Lytechinus pictus: one gene and its partners. The protein of the gene in region 2 purifies or fractionates together with the protein of the main gene of each other region. This does not show direct contact. Links are inferred from orthologs where the notes say so. Each region holds a gene or a part of one and is shown on either strand. Other genes may lie near its edges. The genes, in order: lysosomal acid phosphatase-like, transmembrane protein 192-like and lysosomal aspartic protease-like.

Region 1 (7,736 bases), on a different chromosome or scaffold from region 2:
TCGATTTTTGCATATGTCGTTATTTGTTATATATTCCACATACATTTCGTAATTCCGAAGCTTCGTTATTCCGAAGGTTCGGATATTCCGAAGGTTCGTTATTCCAAAGGTTCGTATTTCGAAGGTTCGTAATTCCGAAGGTTCGTTAGTCCGAAAACGTGATGATTAACGAACCTTATTTCGTTTCCGGACTAACGAACCTTCGGAACAATGACCTTATTTTGTTTTCGGACTAACGAACCTTCGGAATATCGAACCTTATTTCGTTTTCGGATTATCGAACCTTCGGAATAACGAACCTTCGGAATAACGCCACAAATGTTCGGATTAACGAACCCTTTTACGTTTTCGGATTAACGAACATCGAGGTATAGGCAATTTTTTTGTTTCGGAATTACGAACCTTCGGAATAAAGAACCTTCGGAATTACGAAGTGTAACCATATATTCAAGATAGTAGTTGGGTAGTTTCTAAATCCTTAGACTGTAAATTCGAATTAAAAAAGAATATTAAAGTCTGGACAGTTAATCGGCGAATTGGCGGAAGTGATAACACATGCGAGCTCACATAACGAACTACCGTCGGTGAATGGGGATTATAGGGAAATGTCAGAAATTGTTAAGGAAATCCCCAGAAATTACGGTTATTCCTGTCTACAGAAAAGTATACTACATCAGTTTGCAGCATTTATAATATCTTCATCTTCAGAGTATAGTCACCATCAGACTTACTCATGAATGTACATGTATTTGTCATCATCATCATCAAGTTATCATCTTTAATAAAAATATATGAACTCTACATCTTGCATTGGTTCGTCTCATTTAAGTCTGGTTGAAAGCAAAAGTGCAATATTGAACCGAAGACAACACAACACTATATTTTCATTCATAAAATGGCTCGTAGCAGTGGCTGGATGACGTCGTGTAATAAGTAAAATGTACACGCCCGCTAGCATTGAACTCTCCCCTATCCGTTCTATACAATTTGCCACTGTGGAAAATTAACTAAACATTGCCAACCTTTACTTTGCCACACAGGGAGTAGTACTAGTAGTAGTAACAGAGAATAAGGTTATATTATAACCTTGTTCATTGAATGAGTGGGGTTGAATTTGTTCATGCAAGGATCTATTACTAGATTATGACATCCTAATTTACCTTTTCAATGACAAATTGTACACTTTTTTCAATATGAAAAGGTTTTTTTTTTGCTTTACATTACCTTATTAGTTAAATTATTCAGTTAATCAATTATGCATGTTTCAAAGAAAAACTATTTCATAATTTTTTAGTCTAATTTTAATTTCTATAAAAAACATGATTTTTTTTTTATCTACATGAATAAAATATTGATTACTTTAGAAAACATTCTTTCATCATATTCATATTTCAATCTGATGTGATGATAATGAACTTTTCAAGACAATATGCATGTTTAAGTTTGCATGACACAAATCATAGATCGATCCATTTAAAAAGGTGGGGAAATGAAAAAGGATAAATCCACTCATTCAATGAACAAGGTTATGATATAACCTTGTCCTCAGCTCAGTTATATCTCCATGTGTGACAAAATAAGGGTGGCAATGTTTGGCTTATTTTCTCTTTTTCTTTGGGACAAATGCTTGATTTTTTTTTTACACTGACAGTTTCCATTACACCTATTCGTCATTCAACTTGGCTCTTATTCTTAAGTAAATTTGATTCTTTAAATTATTTTTTTCTTAATTAAAAATAGAGATCAAAAAATGAAAATTGTCTTGCCATATTACTTTCCACCAATACAGGGCATACACAAAAATATGCCCCAAAATCAAGTTTTTGAGCGCTGGCAGAGGCTCTGGTGAATACAAAAATTATTCCCAAGTTACTAATGAAAAATAAATTGCAACTGTATGAAAATTAGTAATTTTGGTCACAAAAGTGATATTTTAATGATTTTTTAAAGTATTTATGGGGATTCATCAAGAAAGGAAGAAACTGGGAATTTCTCAAAATATAGATTGATGTGAATGAGTACTAAGACCCGGGGGGGCCACTTACATTGACGAGTGGATACCATGCGCGACCAAAAAAACACGTAAAAAGGATGTCCTTTTCACGATAGGGCACGTTACGTACGTAACGTGATAAGGGTGTCAAAAACACAAAAATAATGAAAAAAAGGGTGTCTATTTCGCTAGGAAAATTACGTGTTTAGGGTCGAATTTGCGGGAATGATGAAACAAAATTAAAATGTTTTATAAAGGATGTCCATTTTGCCCCAACACTTCGTGTTTAGAGTCCGATTTGCGCGAGGTGTAGAAGGTGGGGTCGTACTAAACCAAATAAGGTAAAGCCGACGACCGAAGGACCCGTAACAATAAAACATTCCTCTACTTGTTTAGGGGTTCATTTCAGGGAATACTTGCCAAGAGTATCGTTTTGTTTCCAATACTTGTTAAGGGTAGGGTTTCACACGCCAATACTTGTTAAGGGGTGCATTTTCAGAGTATGGAAATTACGTGTTAAGGGTGCTTTTCGAGACCCCATGGTCGCGCATGGTATCCACTCGTGAATGGAAGTGGCCCCCCCCCCCCCCGGGTACTAAGATTAATTGTCATCGAGCTGTCATTAAGTCCTAATATTATAAGTTTCATGCTCATTTTTAATTTTATAACCTACAATTCAAACCATTTGCCATGAGGCATGACATATGATAACATAACAAAAGAATGATAATACAGTAATAATATAAACCGTAGTAGTAGTAAGTGATTGCCATGAAAAAATAAGAACTAACAAGTTATGCTGGATGAAGATAAAACGAGGCACAAAGTCAAAGCCAAAGGTGAAAACTGAAAGTGAAACAAGCATCCATTTTAAACGCATGGGACTAAGTTAAAGTTTTCAACTTCAGTTTTATTCGATACATAAATAAAGAAATCTTACCACATTTACGAGACGTAAGGTACTCTCTGACATAGCACCACTTATCACAATGAAAATTGCCAAAGAGATAAAATGGATAGAGCTTAAGAACGACATTTTTCCTTCTTTTCCGTGAGCCGATCGGACCGGAACACTGTTTTTTGTTGACAAGAATGGAAGATTGATCGACTGATTGTAGATGAAGTCATGTGATGCTCCCGGGGTACGGTTTAGATGCCACCGACCCCCACCCCCCCCCCCCCCCCCCATGGAAACCGGGCACGGAACGTGTAAAGTGAAAGAAACCCGGGGCAGGGGCGGATCCAGCCTTCGCCAATAGGGGGGGGGGGGTGACGGCGGAATTTTTTCAGCCACATTTCCCCCGATCGGCCGCTCGAAGCTAAGTTGATATTTGTTTGTTTGAAGGGGTAGACCTCTAGTGCTAGAGGCTTTAGATCTATATAGTCACTTAAAGGGATGGTCCTGGCTGAAAATATTTATATCTTAAAGGGGAATCCAGCCTTGGCCATAAAATGTTGTGTTGGGAAGGAGAAAAATAAATTAAACAGAATGGTGAAAGTTTGAAAGAAATCGGACAAGCAATAAGAAAGTTATAGCTGCTTTAAAATTGAGATCACTAACAGAATGTAGATTTCAAATTGGCAACTGGGTAAGTAAATTATGACAAGGGGCAAGGACAACTTTCCCATAGGCCATGTACTTTATTATCAGGGATTTGTGGTTTTCTCCCAAGTACCCATTCCCCTGGGGCAGTAATCTAAATATAACCCAGGTAGTATATTGTTTAATGTCCTCATGAAAGAAAAATATAATTTGAAATAAAACTTTGGGGAAAAATGACAATTTAGCCATAATATGTATTGGAGTACATGGAAGAGTAGTCCTTGCCTTACATCACTATGACATCCCATATGCGGCCAATTTGAAGTCTCCATGAGTATAGTGATTACCAATATTTATATATTTTAAAAATTCATAACTTTCTTGTTGTTTGTCCAATATTGTTCAAACTTTCACCTATCAACTTGTCTGATTTTTCTTTTTCTTATAAAAACAAGTTTTTCTTTGGGTTGGATTCCCCTTTAATACATAGAGTAGAATTCACTGAGCAAACTGCTGAAAATTTCATCAAAATCGGATTAAAAACAATAAAGTTATTGAAGTTTAAAGTTAAGCAATATTTGGTGAAAACAGTTGTCATGAATATTCATTAGGTGGGCCAGGGAAGTGTTTATAACACTTCCCTGCCTGGGTGGGCTGATAATGTCACATCCCAACTTTCAGTTTTCTTATGTTATTACATAAAGTCTTTTTTTTCTTCATTATTTCATACTTGTGTGAATAATATGTCTCCCTTATAATGAAATAAGTTGCAGCAATAAATATCTAATGCACTAAATCAGTTGTCAATCCAATTTGTCTAGTTCTTGGAGGAAAAAAATTGAATAAACCTAATTTCATATAATTAAATACAAAAGAACAAGTGGGGATGTGACATCATCAGCCCACCTAATGAATATTCACGACGACTGTTTTCACAAAATATTGCTAAACTTTAAAATTCAATAAGTTTGTTATTTGTTATCCGATTTTGATGAAATTTTCGGCATTTTGCTCAGTGAATTCTACTCTATTTATTAAGCTATAAAAACTTTCAGCCTGGACCATCCCTTTAATTGTAAGCTTTATTCTTAAAAATCAACATAAATATATATAGGGCCTATATAATAAGTTTTATTTGAATAGTGCGAGCGCGAGCAATTTCATGTATTTTGTTCTAAAATTTAAACATTCTGGGCAATGTATGTGATCCTAAACGGGATGATTGTGTATCCAACTAAATAATAAGAAATTTATATTATTATTCTGATAAAAAAAGAATCTGTTAACGGCTGCTTGCAGTTAGCCATGAAGACATTACATATTTCAACAGTCAAATAATGCGAGCGCGAAGCGCGAGCTGAAAATTTTGACATTTCTACCTGAAGAATGGAAATTCTAAGCACTTTTTGTAATCGTGAAAAAGATCATAACTAATTAAACAATTGATGCGAGCGGAAAAATTCGAGATTTACACCTAAAAATGGGACACTCTTTTCATGTTTTGTAAATCACGAAAAGGATGAGTAATTGGGAAATCTTCCTACATTAATAATGCCAGCGCAAAGCGCTAGCAGAATTTTTTTTAAATGGTGATCTCAAACTGGATGATTAAATAGAGAACAAGCTGCGTATCTGAATAAACATGAGCGCGCGTTTCAGATTTCGCCTAGAATCTGGGCATTCTGAATACCTTTTTTATCATAAAAATCAATAAATCGAGCGCGAAGCACGAGCTTAAAATATTTTATATTCCTATATATCTGAAAAAGGGTCAATTTAAGCTCTGTATTTCAAGCACTTTGTAGGAAAAGTGTGAGGTGGATGTGGATCACAGTTAAAAAAGAGGTGATATTATGTTTCATTATTAATACTTTGAGTTTTGACATAGGGCCGGGACATACTAAGAACATTATGTCATCATAAGGAAATTATGACTATCTTCATATTTCGCTTCCTAAGCGCGAGATGAAACGTGTCGATATTCCATTCTTAAAAAAGGGACAATTTGATTATTAAATTAGTTAATTAATCTAATAAGCCTAATGAAAGCACGAAATATGTTCTGGCCTGAAAACTGGACATTTAAAGCACTTTGTAATTATGAATAAGATGCATGAGTTAATATTTTCAACAATAATGCGAGTGCAAATCGCGAGCCGAAATTTTTGATAAACTGTCATGAAATGGGGATTTTTAGTATAGCTTGTTAAAGAATTAATATTGAGATACGCATAACGCACCAATCAATATGCCAGCGTACAACGCTAGCTGATACGTTTTGACACTCTGACCTGAATAGGGATATTTTGAGAACTTTATGAAATACAGGAAAATAATAGGTATACCTGACAAATCAAATTTTGCGAGCGCGCAGCACAAACAGAAAATGTTAATATTCAGAAAACATAACATAAATTTTTACAGAGCACTTTAAAAAAATTAATTTGTAAATCGAACAAAATAATGAAAGTTCGATTTCTGAGCTGAAATGTGTTTTGTATATTGACTTCAAAATAGTTCCCTATTGAGCAAGACATGTAAATCACCTAAACAATGCGAGCGCGAAGCGCGAGCGAAAATTTTATATAGTGCCATGAAAGATTTTGTAAAATTATTTTCCAAGTCTTCCCCTCATCTTATTTTATTCACTCGTTTTCCTCCTCTTATGTTTCCCCCTTTTTTCCCTTCTTTTTCAATTTTCTTTCTTCCCTCGCTTTTTTTTTTGCTCCGCCAATAGGGGGATCGGGCCCCCCTGGATCCGCCTATGCGGGGGACCACTTCCATTGACTAGTAGATACCAGGCGCGGCCATGGAGTTTCGATAAGCATCCTTAATAAAGGTCAAGTCCACCCCAGAGAAATGTTGATTTGAATAAATAGAGAAAAATCAAACTAGCACAACACTGAAAATTTCATCAAAATCGGATGTAAAATAAGAAAGTTATGACATTTTTAAGTTCCACTTATGTTTCACAAAACAGTGATATGCACAACTGAGTAACATGCAAATGAGATAGTCGATGATGTCCCTCACTCACTATTTCTTTTGTTTTTTATTGTTTGAATTATACAATATTTAATTTTTTACAAATTTGACAATAAGGACCAACTTGACTGAACCATATAGTATTAAACAATGCTAATTCCACGTGTTCAGGGAGGAATTAATCGTTGTTGCAATGAGGAGAAAATTAGAATATTTCATATTTCATATAATAAAATACAAGAGAAAAAGTGAGTGGATGACGTCATCAGTCTCCTCATTTGCATACAGACCAGGATGTGCACATAACTGTTTTGTGAAATTAAGCAAAACTTTAAAATGTCATAACTTTTTTATTTTACATCCGATTTTGATGAAATTTTCAGTGTTATACATGTTGGATTTTTCTCTTTTTATTCAAATCAACTTTCTGTTGGAGTGGACTTGTCCTTTAACAAGTATTTTCCATATTCTGAAAATGCACCTTTGACAATTAGGCCCTATATTCCTTGAGTTGACCCCCCAAACAAGTATAGGACATACAGGGATATTTTAAAGGGGAAGTTCACCCTGGAGATAAGTTTGTTTTAAAAATTACAGAAAAATAATAAAAAATATTGGTAAAGATTTGATAAAGATGACCATAATATATTTAAAAATTAATAAAGTTATTAGAATTTCAACTTTTGGATTTGTGACGTCATAAACGAGCAGCTGCCCCACATGTTATGTAATATAATGCATTAATTTCAATTTTTTAATGGTTCGTGATGACTTATTTTAGTTCAGTGTAATGACCATTTCGTCTCATATACCTATTAGGCCTATATACCCATAATTTCATTCATCTTGCCTACTACATAAGGACGTTTCACACTTAAAATGAAATCCATATCATTTTCACAAAATTTTGCACAGAGTTACTTTAGCACCTGGATATTTCAAATATAAAAAAATATAACATGGGTTCATGACTGTGCTTGATATTTTGCTATTGAGCTTTGAAGTTCTCTCAATTAATAAAGTTCTCGCGAATTGCGCATTCAAAAGAATTTGACCTTTTAGACGACGTTGAGGTCGACCTCTTTTACTAAGTCAAAATATTTCATCAAATTTTGCAGTATTAATCAGAATTGTACACAGCAAAAACTGCGGTGTTAACCAGTGTACATAGAGGATCACACCAGTGATTTTACACCGGTGTTAAATTGACAGTGT
Region 2 (8,118 bases):
AGATAACTTTACCTATTGATATCATATAGAGCGGAACCCTTTTCAATTTCTGCGTCTTGCGATAGAACTGAAGGTAGCCATGCCGCATGGACCGCCTGTGAGCAAAGTGAAGATAGCGCTCAAACATGAGCAGAATAAGCCAGACACACGTCTGGAGATAGACGATGATGATGAAGCTATGGGATCTCTGCTGCTGGATGTCTGAGGTTTGCTTGATGATGACATACGGTAGGAGAATGGTTATGACCTCATGGGCGACCTGTGTATAAGAGATAAGGAGTGCAAGGAATATCATCACAAAATTAATGTACAAGTTAATGAATTGGTTCCATGATATATGCGGCAATTGCTCTGATAGAAAATCTGTACGCTAAGCCAAACATAAAACCTAACCTTCAAAACTAAATAAACTCTGATCCTTATCTTGACATTATTCTGAACCAAAAACTCTATTACAATCCAAACTATAACCCTATGCCCTATTAAGACCACAACAAATGTTGCAGTCTGAGCAAATGTGTCACCAATGCATTATGAGAGATAAGACTATAGGTGATCATGGACGGAAATCCCAGGGGGGACGCATCCCCCCTACTCAAAATCGTAGGGGGACACAATATCAAGTGTCCCCCCTACTATTCTTTTTTGTAATGATGGAGAAAAATACATCATTCGCAATCGAAATAATACATATATATTTTGGACTAAATGACGAAATTACCATTCATTTTTGGTGAAAACATTTTTTTTTTGCTCGTTTAAATTTGTTGGTTAAAATGACCTTACATTTTTGGTGATAACCTTTTTTTGCTTGTCAAAGTTTCCAGCCCCTGGTCCCCCTACCTTTGGGAGACATTTCCGCCCATGTAGGTGATGATATAATTAATAATATTAAAAGATTTATGAAGAAGATAACATGTAAAATCTAATTCTTTTTTTTATGACACATCTAAGTTAACCTCATTAATATATTCCAGGAATCATGTACTCACAAACTGACAAAATATAAACAGCACAATACAAATGCTCTCACTATTGATATTGTTTTATATTTTATATGTATAAAAAATATAAAAACACACCATGTATAATAAATATTACATGATTAATTATCTCAACTTACAGTAGGCTAGATATTGATTGCTAATTAATACAATATTAAGGAAAAGATCTTTCAATACCCAATAAATAAATAATTACATAAATAGATACATAAATAAGTATATAAATAAATGAATTAAAAAAATGAATCTAAAGATAGATAGATAGATAAATAAATACAGTTGAGGCCAGAAGTTTACATACATACATACACCCAGGAAATTTAAAGAAAAGTTGACACTTGCCAAACATCATAAAATTTACTGTATCTTATAAAATATTTGTGCTATTATGACGAATTCAATATAAAACAAATGAGTAGTCATGCCCCTTCATCACATTGCTTTATCATGAAGAGCTGAAACATATTTAGGTGTTATTTTTCTCCAAAAAATCTTCCTATTTTAGACAAATTCAAAATAAAAACTCGACAAAAACATTTCATATTTGTGCTAGTTACTTCTCAACACAAACATATCAGATTGCTCTTTTTGTTCAGTGGTGACATATCATGATAGAAAATGTAGTATAAATCATTTATTTGACATTTATATATAAATGAAACGATGTTTGAAAATATAATAACAAACAATAGAATACAATTGGCACGAATATTATTTTTTTTCTTCAAAGAAAATTCCACCTGTAATATACTTTGATCCCAATGCCATCCAAATCATGTGAAAGAGCTTAATACGCTTTTTCATCTAATACCAAATTTTGCATGGTAGTATTTATATTTCTGAAGATATAGTAAATTTTACGATGTTTGGCAAGCAAACAAATTTCACTGAATTCCATGGGTGTATGTAAACTTTTGGCCTCAACTGTACATAAATGAAAAGAAGTAAATAGGTAATAAGTAATTAATAAATCAATGAATAAATAAATAAACAACAAACAACATAATCTAAGGTGGATAAATCATTGACTTACAAGGATGATTATCTGAAGGACAGCCGCCCAAACTGCTCTGATTGGGCGAAACTTTGGGGCTTCTTCCGATGCCAGGCCATTACTTGGAATCAGTTCCTCGTCATCATTCTGGAAATCAGCTGAAGGGTTACCACCTTCACCATCAAAGAAAAAGCCCTGGATATGAAAATGAAAATCCATATTTTATCATTCGAAATAGACATGAAATGAAATACTCCTAATATTTGCTTTGCCCAATTGATCGTGGGCCCAGCATGCAGTCGCTGTGCAGCGCCAAATCGACGAGGCTCTATCGTTGAACGCCAAGCAGGGTAGCAGCAACTCCCATCTTTTAACGTCTTTTGGTCTGACACAGCCAGGGTTTGAACCCCCGACCTCCCGGTTGTGAGACTGACGCTCTACCAACTGAGCCAACACACCGGATATATAACAGTTCAAACATGAATTGAATGGATCCGTCATTAAAAAAATGGTCTGTTCTGTTTCTGAAAACCTGTAATTCTGTTTCAAAATCTTCTATTACATAGAAAAGGAAAATAGAAATCCTGTTTTTCACATTACACATAGCCATACAAAATTCATGCATGTCACAGAAAGCCAAAAATAATTACAAGAATTCCATTTTGCAACATTCGAGATCGTTAGTTTGTTAGTATGTAATAATGTAGTGCGAGTGGTTTTGCAAAGGTAAATCACTTGAAAATTAAGAACCAAAACTGATTTTTTAAAGGTAAAGCCAAGTTAAATGCATAGAACTTGTAGAAGGCCCTCTTTTATGATTAATATGGTAAAACTTCATATATGGTAAGGTCCCCAATGGCCATGTCTGCATAGTGTAAAGTGAATGGGTGCGCAGACATTGATGAGGCAACATTTTCTGTTATCTGAAATGACTGGCCAAGGTTTTTTCCAAGAAAATCATACAGTGCAGGCCTATTTCTCTCATTTTCAATGAGATTTTTGGCACATTTACTCATAAGAATATAAGGAACATTATCACGTGATTTTTTTGTGGACTAAAGAGGAATTCATGTTTAATCGCCAGTTAAATCTTTAGCGTTTTTCAGGTGCGCCGACATGCCGCCCCTTCGTACACAAAATAAGGATACATAAAAATGGACGTGCGGGGCACATGACCAAAACATTTTTGCAGGCTTCGAATTCTAGGCTAGTAAAGACTGAGTTCATCGATTCATGCAATTAACAGCATGAAAAATTGTTTCTCTGTACACACTCACCCCTTGCCTTGTACTGTCATGGTCCAAGCTAACCATTTTAGTAATAACTATAAAACTGAAATTATGTGAGATTTGTTTTCAATTTCCGACTCCCATTTACAATCTCGAAGTCGAAGAATGACGTATATCTGACCGGGGTCACCTGACTCTAGCATGTCACATGATCTAGCTATCTTCACTCGGATGGGGGGGGGGGGGGGGGGGGGGGGTGGTGATTAGAGTGATTCCCCCTTGATTCAGGGGCGGATCCAGGATTTTCCAAGGGGGGCAAATTTTTCGGAGGAAATTTTTGACAAGCCCTCCAAAACAAGGTTTTCAACCACAAATAAAGGATATTTCGTACCAGAAAAATTTGACAAGCAAAAAAAAAAAAAAAAAAAGGTCTTCAATTTCATTTTACATTAAAAATGTGGCCCCTCCCCACAAAAATGATTCTACTAATGAAAAAAAAAAATATAATAATAAATAAATGAATAGATAAATAAATAAATATATCTAAATAAATAAATAAATAAAAGTTAAACAAAAACACTATGACTTTTGGTGCATGGGGATGATGATGGTAATGATGATCATAGGCGGATCCAGGGGAGCCCGAGGGGCTCGCCCCCCCCCCCTATTGGCGGAGCAAAACATGAAAAAAAGGGGGAACGAAAGAAAATAAAGAAAAAGTAGGGGAAAGAAAGGAAGAAAATAATAGGGAGACGAGTGAATAAAATAAGGTCAGAGGAAGACTTGGAAAATTATTAAAAAATATATATCATGTCACTATATCAAATTTTTGCTCGTGCTTCGCGCTCGCATAGCCTGTTCGATGAAATACATGTCTTGCTCAATAGGCTGATATGTAGCTTAAAATATCAAGTTTTGAAGTCAATATACAATTCCAGCTCGGACATCGAGCTTTCATTATTTTGTTTGATTTACTAATTGATTTTTTAAGTGCTTTTTAAAATGTCCGTTTTATTGTGTGAATATAATTTGCAGCTTTTTATATTGTGCACTCGCATTATTTGATTTGCCAAGTAGGCTTACATATTGTCTTTGTTTATTCCATAAGATTCTCAATTCTGTAACAGACTACTTAAAATCCCCCTTTTATGACAGTTTATCAAAAATTTCGTCTCGCGATTTGCGCTATAGCATTATTGTTGAAAATATAACAATTCTTAAGAGCCCTATTCATGATTACAAAAGTGCTTGAAATATCCAGTTTTCAAGCCTAAATGTCAACAGATTTCACTCACTCATTAGGCTTATTACATTAATAAATATGATAATAAAATTTTCATGAATTCCTAATAACTAAATTGTCCCTTTTTAGAAAGGAATATCGACAAGTTTCATATCGCGCTTAGGAAGAGGAATAGGAAGATAGTCATCATATTATGATGACAAAATGTCCTTAGGCCTTGAATGTCCAGGTCCTATATAGGTCAAAATAATAATATCAGCTTGCGCTTCGCACTCGCATCATTTATTAAGTGCTACCCACATCCTCTTCACAATTCCCCTACACAGTGCTTTAGATTAAAATTATAATTATCTAAAATTAAGTTACATGTACTCTAAAATTATCAAAGTTTCAGATCAGAATATCAAAAATTTTCTGCTTGCGCTTTGCGCTCGCAATATTAATGTAGAAAGATACCAAATTACCCATCCTTTTTCATGATTTACAAAACATGAATAGAGTGTCCCATTCTTAAGTCTGAAATCTCATTTCTTTTTCTGTTCGCGCTTCGTGCTCGCATCAATTCTTTGGTTTTATATCTATACCGTTAATGATTACAAAAAGTGCTTAGAATGTCAATTTTTTAGGTCGGAATGTCAAAAAAAATTCAGCTCGCGCTTCGCGCTGGCATTATTCAATAGTTGAAATATGTATCGTCTTCATGGCTGACTGCAAAACGTCCTTAATAGGTCCCTTTCAGATCAAGCCAGAACCCATTTTAAAATGTCCTGCTCGCGCTTCGCGCTCGCAGTTATTATCTAGTTACAGGTTCACAAACATTGCCCAGAATATTCAATTTTCAGGACCAAATACATGAAATTCCAAAAAATTTCAGCTCGCACTATTTAAATAGGGCTAATGAGATTATTACACTGTTTTATAAGAATAAAGCTAAGAAATAACTGTTAAGACAACGGCGTTTTGCCCCCCCCCCCAAAAAAAAAATAATAATAAGAGAAAAGGAAAGGGATAAAAGGGTAAAATATAGGCCTATTATTTTGCTAATGTTATGTCAAAATTTATCACAAACTTTGATTTTTGTAATAAAAATGTCAAAGTTTTTGCTCGCTCGCAACTTCTTAATAATTTTACGCGATACGCCGTATCGAGCCCACTCCCCATTTTTGGCTCATTACGCCACCGGGACAACCCATTCACAGAAACAAACAAAAATCAACTTTTAGCGGCCGATCGGGAAGAATATGGGTTAAAAAAATTCGCCCCCCCTATCATGCCTTATGGGAGCTTGATCCGCCCATGATGATGATGGATGATTGATGATGATTGATGATGATGATGATAACAATAATGATGATAATTATAATAAAAATATTAATGATAATGATAATAATAATTCATAGAGCACGAAGTGCGTGATGAAAATTGCTCAGATCAGAGAAAGTGAAGTTTAAGCTTGTTTTAAATCATAACATGATCCGTACGTGTGATCTGACGTTAAGTCAAAATTAATTCCTCCTGGAACATGTGGAATTAGCATTGCTTAATACTATGGCAGGTGCCGCGGTACGGTTTTCAAAGTGGGGGGGGGGGGGCTGACCATGCAAAAAATCACAATCATATGGTCATTTTTACATTTTTGTACACGGTTTTGGAAAATAGTGGGGGGGGGGGAGGCTGAAGCCCCCCCCCCAGCCCCCCCCCCCGGTTCCGCGGTCCCTGTATGGTTCAGTCAAGCAGGTCCTTATTGTCAAATCTGTATATTGTATAATTTAAACAATGTAAAACAATAGAAATAGTGAAAGAGGGACATTATTGTCTGTCTCATTTGCATGTCACTGAGTTGTGCATATCACTGTTTTGTGAAAAGTAAGCGAAATTTTAAAATGTCATCATTTGTTTATTTTACATCCGATTTGATAAAATTTTCAGCGTTATGCTTTTTCTCTATTTATTCAAATCAACATTTTTTCTTGGGTGGACTTGACCTTTTAATCATCAGGGATTTGTAGTGGTTTTCTCCTACGTACCCATTCCCTTAATTGGGGCAGTAATCTAAATATACGGTAATATATTGTTTTATGTCCTCATGAAAAAATACAATTTGAAGTAAACCTTTTGAAAAAAAATACATTTTAGCCATTTCATGTATTGGAGTACTGACAGTGGCGTAACTACGGGGGGGGGGGGGGCATGGGGGGGCACGTGCCCCCCCCTATCGGCTGGCAAAAAAAAAAAAAAAAAAAAAAAAAAAAAAACGGGAGAAAAGGGAGAAAAAGAGGGAGAAGAAAGAAACGTAGTGGGAAAGAAGAATTTATTGTACATTTTAATGTTATATTATATTATATGTTGTGTTATATTACATAAGAATTTTTTTTTTCATAACTTTATGAAACATAATGTGCTCAGGTCCTATTTGTTCATTATTCCTGGTACTAGCATTGTCTGTTTAACGAGATATACATGTACAATCATGTTGTACCAAAACGTCCTGTTTTCAAGTCAATATGCACCAAATATATATCATCGCACTTCGAGTTATTATTGTTTTATGTAGTGACATATGCTTCTTTTCATGACTACTTAAAGTGATAGCCCCATTTTAAGGTCTGTATATAAAAAAAATCCTTGTTCGTGTTCGTGCTTACGTTCGAATTAGTGGATTGATGAGATTTGTCTGCTCATGAATTCCTGAAATCGGTCCTTAAAATGTTTCTTTTTCTAATGTAAATATCAAAAGATTTCAGCTCGCGCTTCGCGCTCGCATCATTTGTTTAGTGAAATACGTATGGTCATAGTAGATTCCTACAAACAAGCCTTAGAATGCCCCTCTTCAGATCTGAATTTCCTATATTTTTAGCTCGCACTTTGCGCTACTGAGATGCGACGTATGATAATCATGATTACTATGACTACAAAAAGCTCTTCATGTGTTTGAATGTGATTCTAACAAAATCAGCAATCGCTTGGCACTCGCATTGGATGACTATATGGTGAGATATGTATACTCTTAATGGATTAAAAAAAAGAAATAGTCCTTAAAATGTCCCTGTTTGGGGTCAATATATACAAAATTTTCAGCTCGCGCTTCGCGCTCGCATCATTTTGTACGTGAAGTACGTATGGTCTTCGTAAATTCCTACAAACAAGCCTTAGAATGCTTCTCTTCAGGTCTGAATTTCCTAAATTTTTAGCTCGCGCTTCGCGCTCGCAATATTTGATTAGTGAGATGCGTATTTTAATCATGATTACAACGACTACAAAAGGTGTTTCTTGTTTTCTAACAAAATCAGCAAGCGCTTGGCACTCAAATTAGATGAGTATGGTGAGATATGTATTCTCTTATTTGATTTCTAAAAAATAGTCCTTAAACTGTCTCTGTTTGGGGTCAATAAATACAAAAATTTCAGCTCGCGCTTCGCGCTTGCATTGTTTGTTTAGCGAGACAGATACGTATTTTTTTATTTTTATTTAATAGCTTATTTTTACCCTTTTTAGATATGAATTTCAAAATTTTTCAGCTCGCGCTTCGCGCTCGCATCATTTGATCAGTGAGATACATTACATATCCGTTTAATGGCACAGTCCTTAAAATGTCTCTATATAAGGTCAATAGGCCTATACCTGGTAATTGAGCGCGCTTTGCGCGCT
Region 3 (8,377 bases), on a different chromosome or scaffold from region 2:
TCGTATTTTGAAACTATAATATACTACCAAACACATTTATGTGTATATTTGACTTATTATCCGTAAATAGAATCCATAAAATAGGCAAACGTATTAGAGATGAAGCTTGTTGCTGACGTCATAATTCTAGGAAATAAACTTGGTCTGTAGTTTTCTGATACTCAATTACGATCAAAGACCCTTTTACAGAAAAATTCAAACATTGCATGTTCTTTTTTTAAATTTTCTCCTCTGTCATCCTCCCCTTTAACTTATCCGCCTTCATTTTGCAATCTAGGCCTTCTCATCTTCTTCCTCCTTTGTTAGATCCACTTTCTTTTCCTCCCCTTTTGTTCTGACATCCCCTCCCATCCATCCCCACATCATCAAGTTCATTACCATCAAATATAACTCACCTGTATTGTATCCTCACTGACGAATCCAGAGCAAGCACCCGATCCATACTGTAGAGACCATTTTGTTCCATTAGCAACATAAGTTGATGATTTGGAGCTGTCGTACTTGTGATGAAAGCCTGCAAGTTAGGGAAATGTAAATATAATTTTTACTTTTAAAACCTGTATGTGTGCATGAATGTGCACATCAGTGGCGTACGCAAGGTGGAGGGGGGTTACAGGTGTTCAACCCCCCCCCTTTGATTTTTTTATACCCAACCCCCCTAAAATAAGGTTGAAGACCTTTTTTTTGCTTGCTTGTCATTTTTTTTTTTTGGGGGGGGGTTACCAAATGACTTAAAAATATGGGTGAAGACCTTTTTTTGTTGGGGGTGTCAAAATTTTTTTCATTCAGCTTGAAAACCCCCCTTTCATTTGAAAAATACTGCGTATGCACACATCTATACAACATGTGTGTATACAGTACATGTCATAGAACTATGTTTATAAATACTGGATAATCAGGTGCTAAATGACTGCGTACCAGTACACTTATTTTTCAAAAGAAAATTATCATCTTAAAAACTAAGGAAAAAATGAATGAGAAAAATCTGACATCTTGCTGGAAAAAAAATTATAAATCAGAATCTGGATTGACATTGGAGGAATATCATCACTGCTTTGGAATTAAAAGACTAAAATATCCCAGGACTAATAGGGTTGAAATATAACAAGCAAGCTTACGACAGGCAACGTCAAGGAAACCACACTTGACAGATGGTACCCAGAGATCAGCACTGCCAGTGTCAAAGACTACAGTAAAATTCTGGCGAGGTGTGCCAAGAGAGATTTCTCCATAGTACTGGGCCTGCAAAATGAAAAAATAAATAAATAAAATTAAAATGGTTAGCCATCACACCATCTCAAATATGCAGATCTGTGGTGAGAAAAGTTAAAAAACACCTATAAACAGACAGAATGCAGATACACAGGGATGGCAGTGACAGTGCCTTTGGAACGTCCATACAGACAATGTCACCACTCCGGGGGGGGGGGGGGGGGGGGGGGACAAGAGACCTCCCCCCTCCCATTCTGTATGCCAAAGATGCTGGAGCAGACAGGTTTTGAGAAGTATAACCAAAAACTTATGAAATTGAACACAAAAAAATGTTAAATGCAAGTTGACATAAACACACAAATATACTTATAAAATAAAAGAAGACCACTCATCAGGAGCACAGTAAAAATCTGAATCTTCCATCATATTTTAATGCACAAAATTGTCATACAGTATTATTGGAATAGACATGTGAAAAGTAATTTTATTGTTTTGATTCAAGATAATAAGTTTGCTGTTTCTTGCCTCTTCTTTTATGAAAAATATACATGTAAAAAAAAAAACTTTGAATTTCTGTTCCTAATAAAATATGAGGTGTTGTTCTTGGGCTCACATCAAGATAGTCGCTCATGTTTACTGGCCATGGTGTGCCAAGTTTGTTGGTGTTCATCATGTTGTACTTGTTGGAAAGTTGAGCCAAATCTTTAAAGGGTAGTCCTGTGTTGGCCATTTGATGACGTACAGATTCCATCTTCTTCAGTGGTACCCTGAGAAATAAATAAAGATTAGAATTTGTATTGATGTTAACTTGTCATCATATAAATCATGATAAATATAAGCCAATGCAATCATTAAAATAATAAAAAAGGCCTACATATTCAGGTAAAAATATAAAAAAACATGTTAAGAATTTCATACACATTTACATGAAAATAAGGGAACATTTGGTTTGATTCACAATCCACAATTCAAAGTTCCATCTACAGATCATCAGAAAAAATACTTGCATTATAATAAAGATAGTCATGAATTGTCTCAATTTCAAGAAAATTAATGTTCTTGTGTATCCAACACTACAGCAAACTGCTGCAATGCTGGAACAGTTTGACCAACAGATGAGACCTTAAAGAATAAATCAGATGTATTGATTTGACAAGACAATAAAATCTTAATCTCCAGAGTCCAGTGTTATGCTGACACTAAGTCTGGCTCCATTGGTTTCTTCCATCTAATGTTAACAGTTTAAGGAAGAGATTTAAGTAGCTTGTTAGGGTTTAACTTACTCAAACTGGTTCCTATGCCATGTCAATGAAAAAAAAAATAGGCCTAACCTTTTTTTTAAAGAAAAATGTTTCAAACTCTTAATTTTCTTATGAAAGAAATATATATTTTTTCCTGTCTAATTTTTGCCTAAGATAGTTTCGGCTCGATACATTTTTTGACAGGACTGCTTGGATTAGATGACTGTACTTATTTAGACATTTTGGCTTACGATTATTTGTGGTGAGTTGTTTTAAAGTCACTCACCTAATAAGCTGCGCGTTTGCTGCAACTGCCAGCAGCAGCAGCAGTGCTGTTGCGAAAAACGTCTTCATTCTCCCTTAGCCTTGCTGTAACTTGTTAGATGTGAAATTCCAGATCAAACCCCTCTAGAATACAGAGCTGCCTTCACATTCCTTTTTCAGGAGGAAGAGTTTGGTTGGGGACTTGACTTTTCTTGGATTTAAATGCAAATAAGAAGCAGAATACATGGGAGATCGGAGAGCAGGTACAAGTCGGGTCGAGTCACGGGACGCATCATGTGATTCATCAGTGCTATAGATTGCATTGTACGCGACCTCTATTGATTTTCTCTCAACAGAATTGCGGAAGACATTTAAATCACATGACCGCGCGAACTGTCACGTGATTCTTTTGTTGTAGATTGGTACGCTATAAATCATAGAGGTGGATGTTTATTTTATCCACCTCTGATATGAATGACAACCAGGGTCATATCCCACCACTGTCCAAAAGAGGGACTCGGAATAAGAAAGAACGATCAACCTGATTGGTTCCTCGGAGGAGGAGGGGGGGGGGGGGGTGGGGGGAATTCTTAAGACTTAAGTTAAAATATTTTTTATCTTAATTTTTACTAACAAGCACTGGCGTACCTAGGATTTTCCAGAAGGGGGGCAAATTTTTAGGAGGATATTTCGTCCGCGAAAAAATTTGACTAGCAAAAAGAAAAGAGGTCTTCAACCACAAATAAAGGATTTCTTACCACAAACAAAATTGACAAGCAAAAAAAAAAAAAAAAAGGTCTTCAACCAAAACACAAAAGGATTTCTTACCACAAAAAAATTGACAAGGAAAAAAAAAAAAAAAGGTCTTCAGGTTCAAATGAGGGGGTACACGTCTGTTTTTATTGCAGTTTTACATTACAAATTATTGATTTGGCTTCTCAAAGGGGGGGGGGGGGGCACGTCCCATGTATCAGTTGTGACTTGTCAGGGGGCAGGGATACGTCCCCTGCATGAGTTGTGACTCGTCAGGGGGGGGGGGGGGCAGTCTGCCCCCCCTTAGGTACGCTAGTGCTAACAAGAATAAGTCTGTTTTAATATAAGGTGAAAATAACTAGTGGTTTAGTTTAGTGGGTAGGAAGTGTCTCGCTTTGCTAAACCTGATGCCAGCCTGCTTGTGTCGAGCAACGATTTTATCATTATCGTCATGATCAATGTATGGTTCCAAGATAGTTTTTCCTCATGATAAGCACCCCACACCAAAAGAAATCTCGTTGGGCCCTCTGAATGCTGTCAGGTAAAGTCCCATGCAACCTTATTACTAATATAACTAGATTTATTTTGTGTTAGCTTATTTCCAATTTGCAGTATTCAAAACTTGCTTTAAGTTTTGGATCGTGAAAAAAAACTAGACATACGAAATCAGAAATAACATTTCCATTTGGCTAAAAATATATTAAAAAGTAAAAACAGATAAAGGGGGGGGGGCACGTCCCCTGTATCAGTTGTGACTTGTCAGGGGGCAGGGATACGTCCCCTGCATGAGTTGTGACTCGTCAGGGGGGGGGGCAGTCTGCCCCCCCTTAGGTACGCTAGTGCTAACAAGAATAAGTCTGTTTTAATATAAGGTGAAAATAACTAGTGGTTTAGTTTAGTGGGTAGGAAGTGTCTCGCTTTGCTAAACCTGATGCCAGCCTGCTTGTGTCGAGCAACGATTTTATCATTATCGTCATGATCAATGTATGGTTCCAAGATAGTTTTTCCTCATGATAAGCACCCCACACCAAAAGAAATCTCGTTGGGCCCTCTGAATGCTGTCAGGTAAAGTCCCATGCAACCTTACTACTATTATAACTAGATTTATTTTGTGTTAGCTTATTTCCAATTTGCAGTATTCAAAACTTGCTTTAAGTTTTGGATCGTGAAAAAAAACTAGACATACGGAATCAGAAATAACATTTCCATTTGGCTAAAAATATATTAAAAAGTAAAAACAGATAAACAAGAAAACTATTTTTTTAGTAGAGAGACTCGACGTTTCGGACAGCTTGACTAAGCTGTCCGAAACGTCGAGTCTCTCTACTACTCATCATCTCTACTCGCCGACTCAAGCCAGCATCTCCTCATTAGCTCTACTACTCAAGCTGTTCTCAACTCATCAATCTTTCCTGGTTTAGAGTCCTTTTCAGGACGACTTTCAAGAAAGAATACTCTACTCTCAAATCTCCACTTTCTCGCCTATCCATTTCTTCTCTTCTTCTATCCACTGTTTCTATAACACTCCACATGGTGTACCGTAAACCACATCAGCGATCATCATGTTTATGGCATCTCCTTGCCGTACTATGAATTTGTACTACATAAACAATAACTAATATGTGTTGGTGAATATAGGCATTCAAACAAAATATATAGGCACGATAAATGATACCCGGGGGCTTGCCAAATGTCTTACTGTACACACGGGTGGCCAAATTATTTCCAAACACCCCCTAAACGAGTTTTTCTCTGCCGGTGCAAAATAACCCCCTAAACAAGTTTTTCGCGAGCTTCATTAACACATTTTGGCCCCTAAACAAGTTGTCGCCAGAATATGACCCCCCAAACAAGGTTTGTCTTCTTGCTAACAATATATTTAAATATAGACAAGACTATATTCATGGGTATTGCATACCCCCCCCTCCCCCCCCCCCCCCCCAGTGCAGTAAGGGTTAAAATACCACAATCAGGAAGAACCTGAGCACTTTTCAGAAACGAGGAGGAAAAAGCCCCGGGGAAAAAGCTTGAGGGAAAAAACATACCCTAAACACGTTTGGCCAGTCTTAGAAAAAAAAAGCTTTAGAAAAAAAAAATACCCAAAATACGTTACGGTTTGACCCCGCAAGTGACCATTGACCAGTCTTTCAAAACCACCCTATATTGAAAATCGGTGTTTTTGATACCCTTAACCGCGTTTTTTTTGGTCGCGCGTTTGTACAGCAATGTATTTGACTGCCTCCCCCTCCCCGGGAAAAGATAGAGCAAATTTTGGTCTAATCCGGGGAAATTGTCGGAGTGGGGAAAATGCTTGCAGCTATCCAATGTCATTGGTTAATTCAACCTGTTCGCATTGACATCTTCATTATTTAGCCATGAACGGCAACTCATACATTCGCTTCATGATAATTGAATTCAGGATTACACGTAAAATTTTCGTCCAATAGGAAATGACCGGACGTTATTTCATTTTCTGTGCAGTTTAAAAGGGCGTCACAGTGAATCTTTCTCTGCCATGGCCGTATATATTTGCCATAAAAGCGCCTATCCTTCAGGTTTCCACTTTGATGATAAGCCGAGTACTTGAACCAAGGCTGGCCTCCATGTCGTCTAATTATCAAAATGCTGGTACGAAGTGATCGATTTGACATCGTTCTCATCTGACGTTTGATTGATTATCAGTCATTTCATTCGATTGCTTTCATGTTTAACATGTTTTTCAGTCTCGTATCCATCGTGTGTTTGGTGTTTTTCGCGGGAAACGTTAATTTCACTGAAGCATTGTCTATAAATGAAGAACCAAGAGGTGAGAAGACGTAACTTTTTTATTTATCTAATCATTGTTGTTCTTGATTAAAATAATTTGGAATTGTGCATCAGAAGAATAAAATCTAAAAATATTCAACAGCATCTAATCTCATATCAGATGCAAGTCCAAACTTTAAATCCAATTATGTCCACCATCCAATCATTTAGATAGCTCTTCACTGGTATAATGAGTTTGTATTAAAACAAAGTTAATGAAAAGGGAAAGAGGGGAGAATACAGCTTTTGACTTGAGCGTGCCAATATGGAAATAAAAAAGATCTGGAAATATATCTAATCACTATTGTTATATTCAATTATTATATGATATTAAATCAAATCATTAAAGATGGTAATCAATGGCGTAACTGCGGGGGGGGGGGCGGCACGCTCCCCCCAATCGGCTGCCCCCCCAAAAAAAAAACAACGGAGGAAAAGGAGAAAAAGAGGGAGAAGAAAGATAAAAAGAGAAACGTAGTGGGGGAAGAAAAACTGCCTTATTGTGTATTATATCATATTACTTTATACTATATTATATATATCATATTATATTACATTAAAAATCAACTTTATGAAACCTAATTTGCTTAGGGGCTATGTGTTCATCAATCCTTGGATCGCATTGTCTGTTTAATGAAATAAATGATCCTGTTCAAGGGGATTAAATGATACTCAAACGTTTTAAGTCAATATAAACCAAATATATTTCCTCGCACTTCGAGTTTTTATTATTTTATGTAGTGACATATGCTTCGATCTTTTTCATGACTACTTAAAGTGATTGCCCACTTTTAAGGTCTGAATATAAAACATTTCCAGTCCGTGCTGTCATTCGCATTAGTGGATTGGTGAAATATGTCTGCTTTTCATGAATTCCTTGAAACAGTCCTTAAAATGTCCCCTCTTATGGCCTGAATATAAAAAAAATTCAGCTCCCGCTTTACGCGCGTATCATTTGGTAAGTGAAATATGTATGGTATAATTAAAATGCCCCTCTTCAGGTCTGAATTTCAAAAAAAAAATTCAGCTCGCACTTCGCGCTTGCAATATTTGATTAGTGAGATACATTTCATGAAACTACATAAAGTGCTTTATGTGCTTAGGCGGAATTCTAAAAAAAAAAAGAAAATCAGCAAGCGCTTGGCGCTAGCATTAGACAAATGTTAGATGACTATGGTGAGATATGTATGCTCTTCATGAATTCTTTAAAAAAAATACTCCTTAAAATGTCCCTAAATGTTTGGGGGCAATATATACAAAAATTTATGCTCGCTCTTCGCGCTCACATTGTTTTTTTTTTTTTAGGTCTGAATATCAACAATTTTCTGCTCGCGCTCGCGTTATTTGATCAGTGACAAACATATCCGTTTAATGGCACAGTCCTTAAAATGGCTCTATTAGGTCAGTATATTCGGCTATTGACCGCGCTTCGCGCGCCCACTAAGTAACTCAAAATTTTTGCTGATGCCCCCAATGTCATGACCCAAGGTATGCCACTGAGGGTAATCATAAAAATATATTGCATATTACGTGTAAGAATCTTAACATATAAATATGTAAACGTATTTTTTTTTTTTTTTTTGTATGTGTATTTGATAATATGGCTCACATGAAGAATTTGTTTGTACGTTATAACCATTTTTTCTATCATACATCTGCAGAAGAAGAAGACCCAAATTCCGAAAGCTTATTATAAAATTTGAAGAAACCCAGGCCAGTCTATCATGCCTTAAGATTTCTTCCCTTATTAGCATCCTTTCAAATTATACGTCACAAAAGCACCCACGCAATGTTTAGGTCTTTCCTCTTCACATTTGTGTAATATAATATATTGTGAAAAATAGGTTAAGAGAATAATGGTACGCGTAGCTTAAATCAAAGCTCCTCAGAGCTATCCTCCCTCGGAAGCATTGATGAGGCAGAAAAATATCTCCTCTGGGAGGATAGCTCAGGGGAACTTTGATTTAAGCCCACGACTACCCGTATTCTATAATAATTACTGCATTTCTTTCACAACATAAATTATTTAAATAAAAGAGTTGCCAAAGATGTTGTACATGTAAGAATTTTAACATTTTATAGGCAAAGAGGGGGGTTCATAA

Evidence for each region.
Region 1: the proteins of transmembrane protein 192-like (region 2) and lysosomal acid phosphatase-like purify together in Homo sapiens (affinity purification with mass spectrometry; 3 studies listed by BioGRID and IntAct, with this or other methods). This does not show direct contact. The link is inferred for Lytechinus pictus from reciprocal best matches to the Homo sapiens genes TMEM192 and ACP2.
Region 3: the proteins of transmembrane protein 192-like (region 2) and lysosomal aspartic protease-like purify together in Homo sapiens (affinity purification with western blotting; 3 studies listed by BioGRID, with this or other methods). This does not show direct contact. The link is inferred for Lytechinus pictus from reciprocal best matches to the Homo sapiens genes TMEM192 and CTSD.

Annotation. Positions count from the first base shown.
Region 1 is NC_087263.1:5,269,973-5,277,708, forward strand, and holds the start of lysosomal acid phosphatase-like, read right to left. Parts: upstream 3,134-7,736; 5' UTR 3,030-3,133; coding exon 2,934-3,029; intron 1-2,933.
Region 2 is NC_087252.1:4,499,829-4,507,946, reverse strand, and holds the start of transmembrane protein 192-like, read right to left. Parts: upstream 3,420-8,118; 5' UTR 3,312-3,419; coding exon 3,276-3,311; intron 2,194-3,275; coding exon 2,038-2,193; intron 260-2,037; coding exon 13-259; intron 1-12.
Region 3 is NC_087246.1:13,756,600-13,764,976, reverse strand, and holds the start of lysosomal aspartic protease-like, read right to left. Parts: upstream 3,116-8,377; 5' UTR 2,808-3,115; coding exon 2,740-2,807; intron 1,980-2,739; coding exon 1,826-1,979; intron 1,243-1,825; coding exon 1,119-1,242; intron 515-1,118; coding exon 396-514; intron 1-395. UniProt on the Homo sapiens protein: Acid protease active in intracellular protein breakdown. Plays a role in APP processing following cleavage and activation by ADAM30 which leads to APP degradation.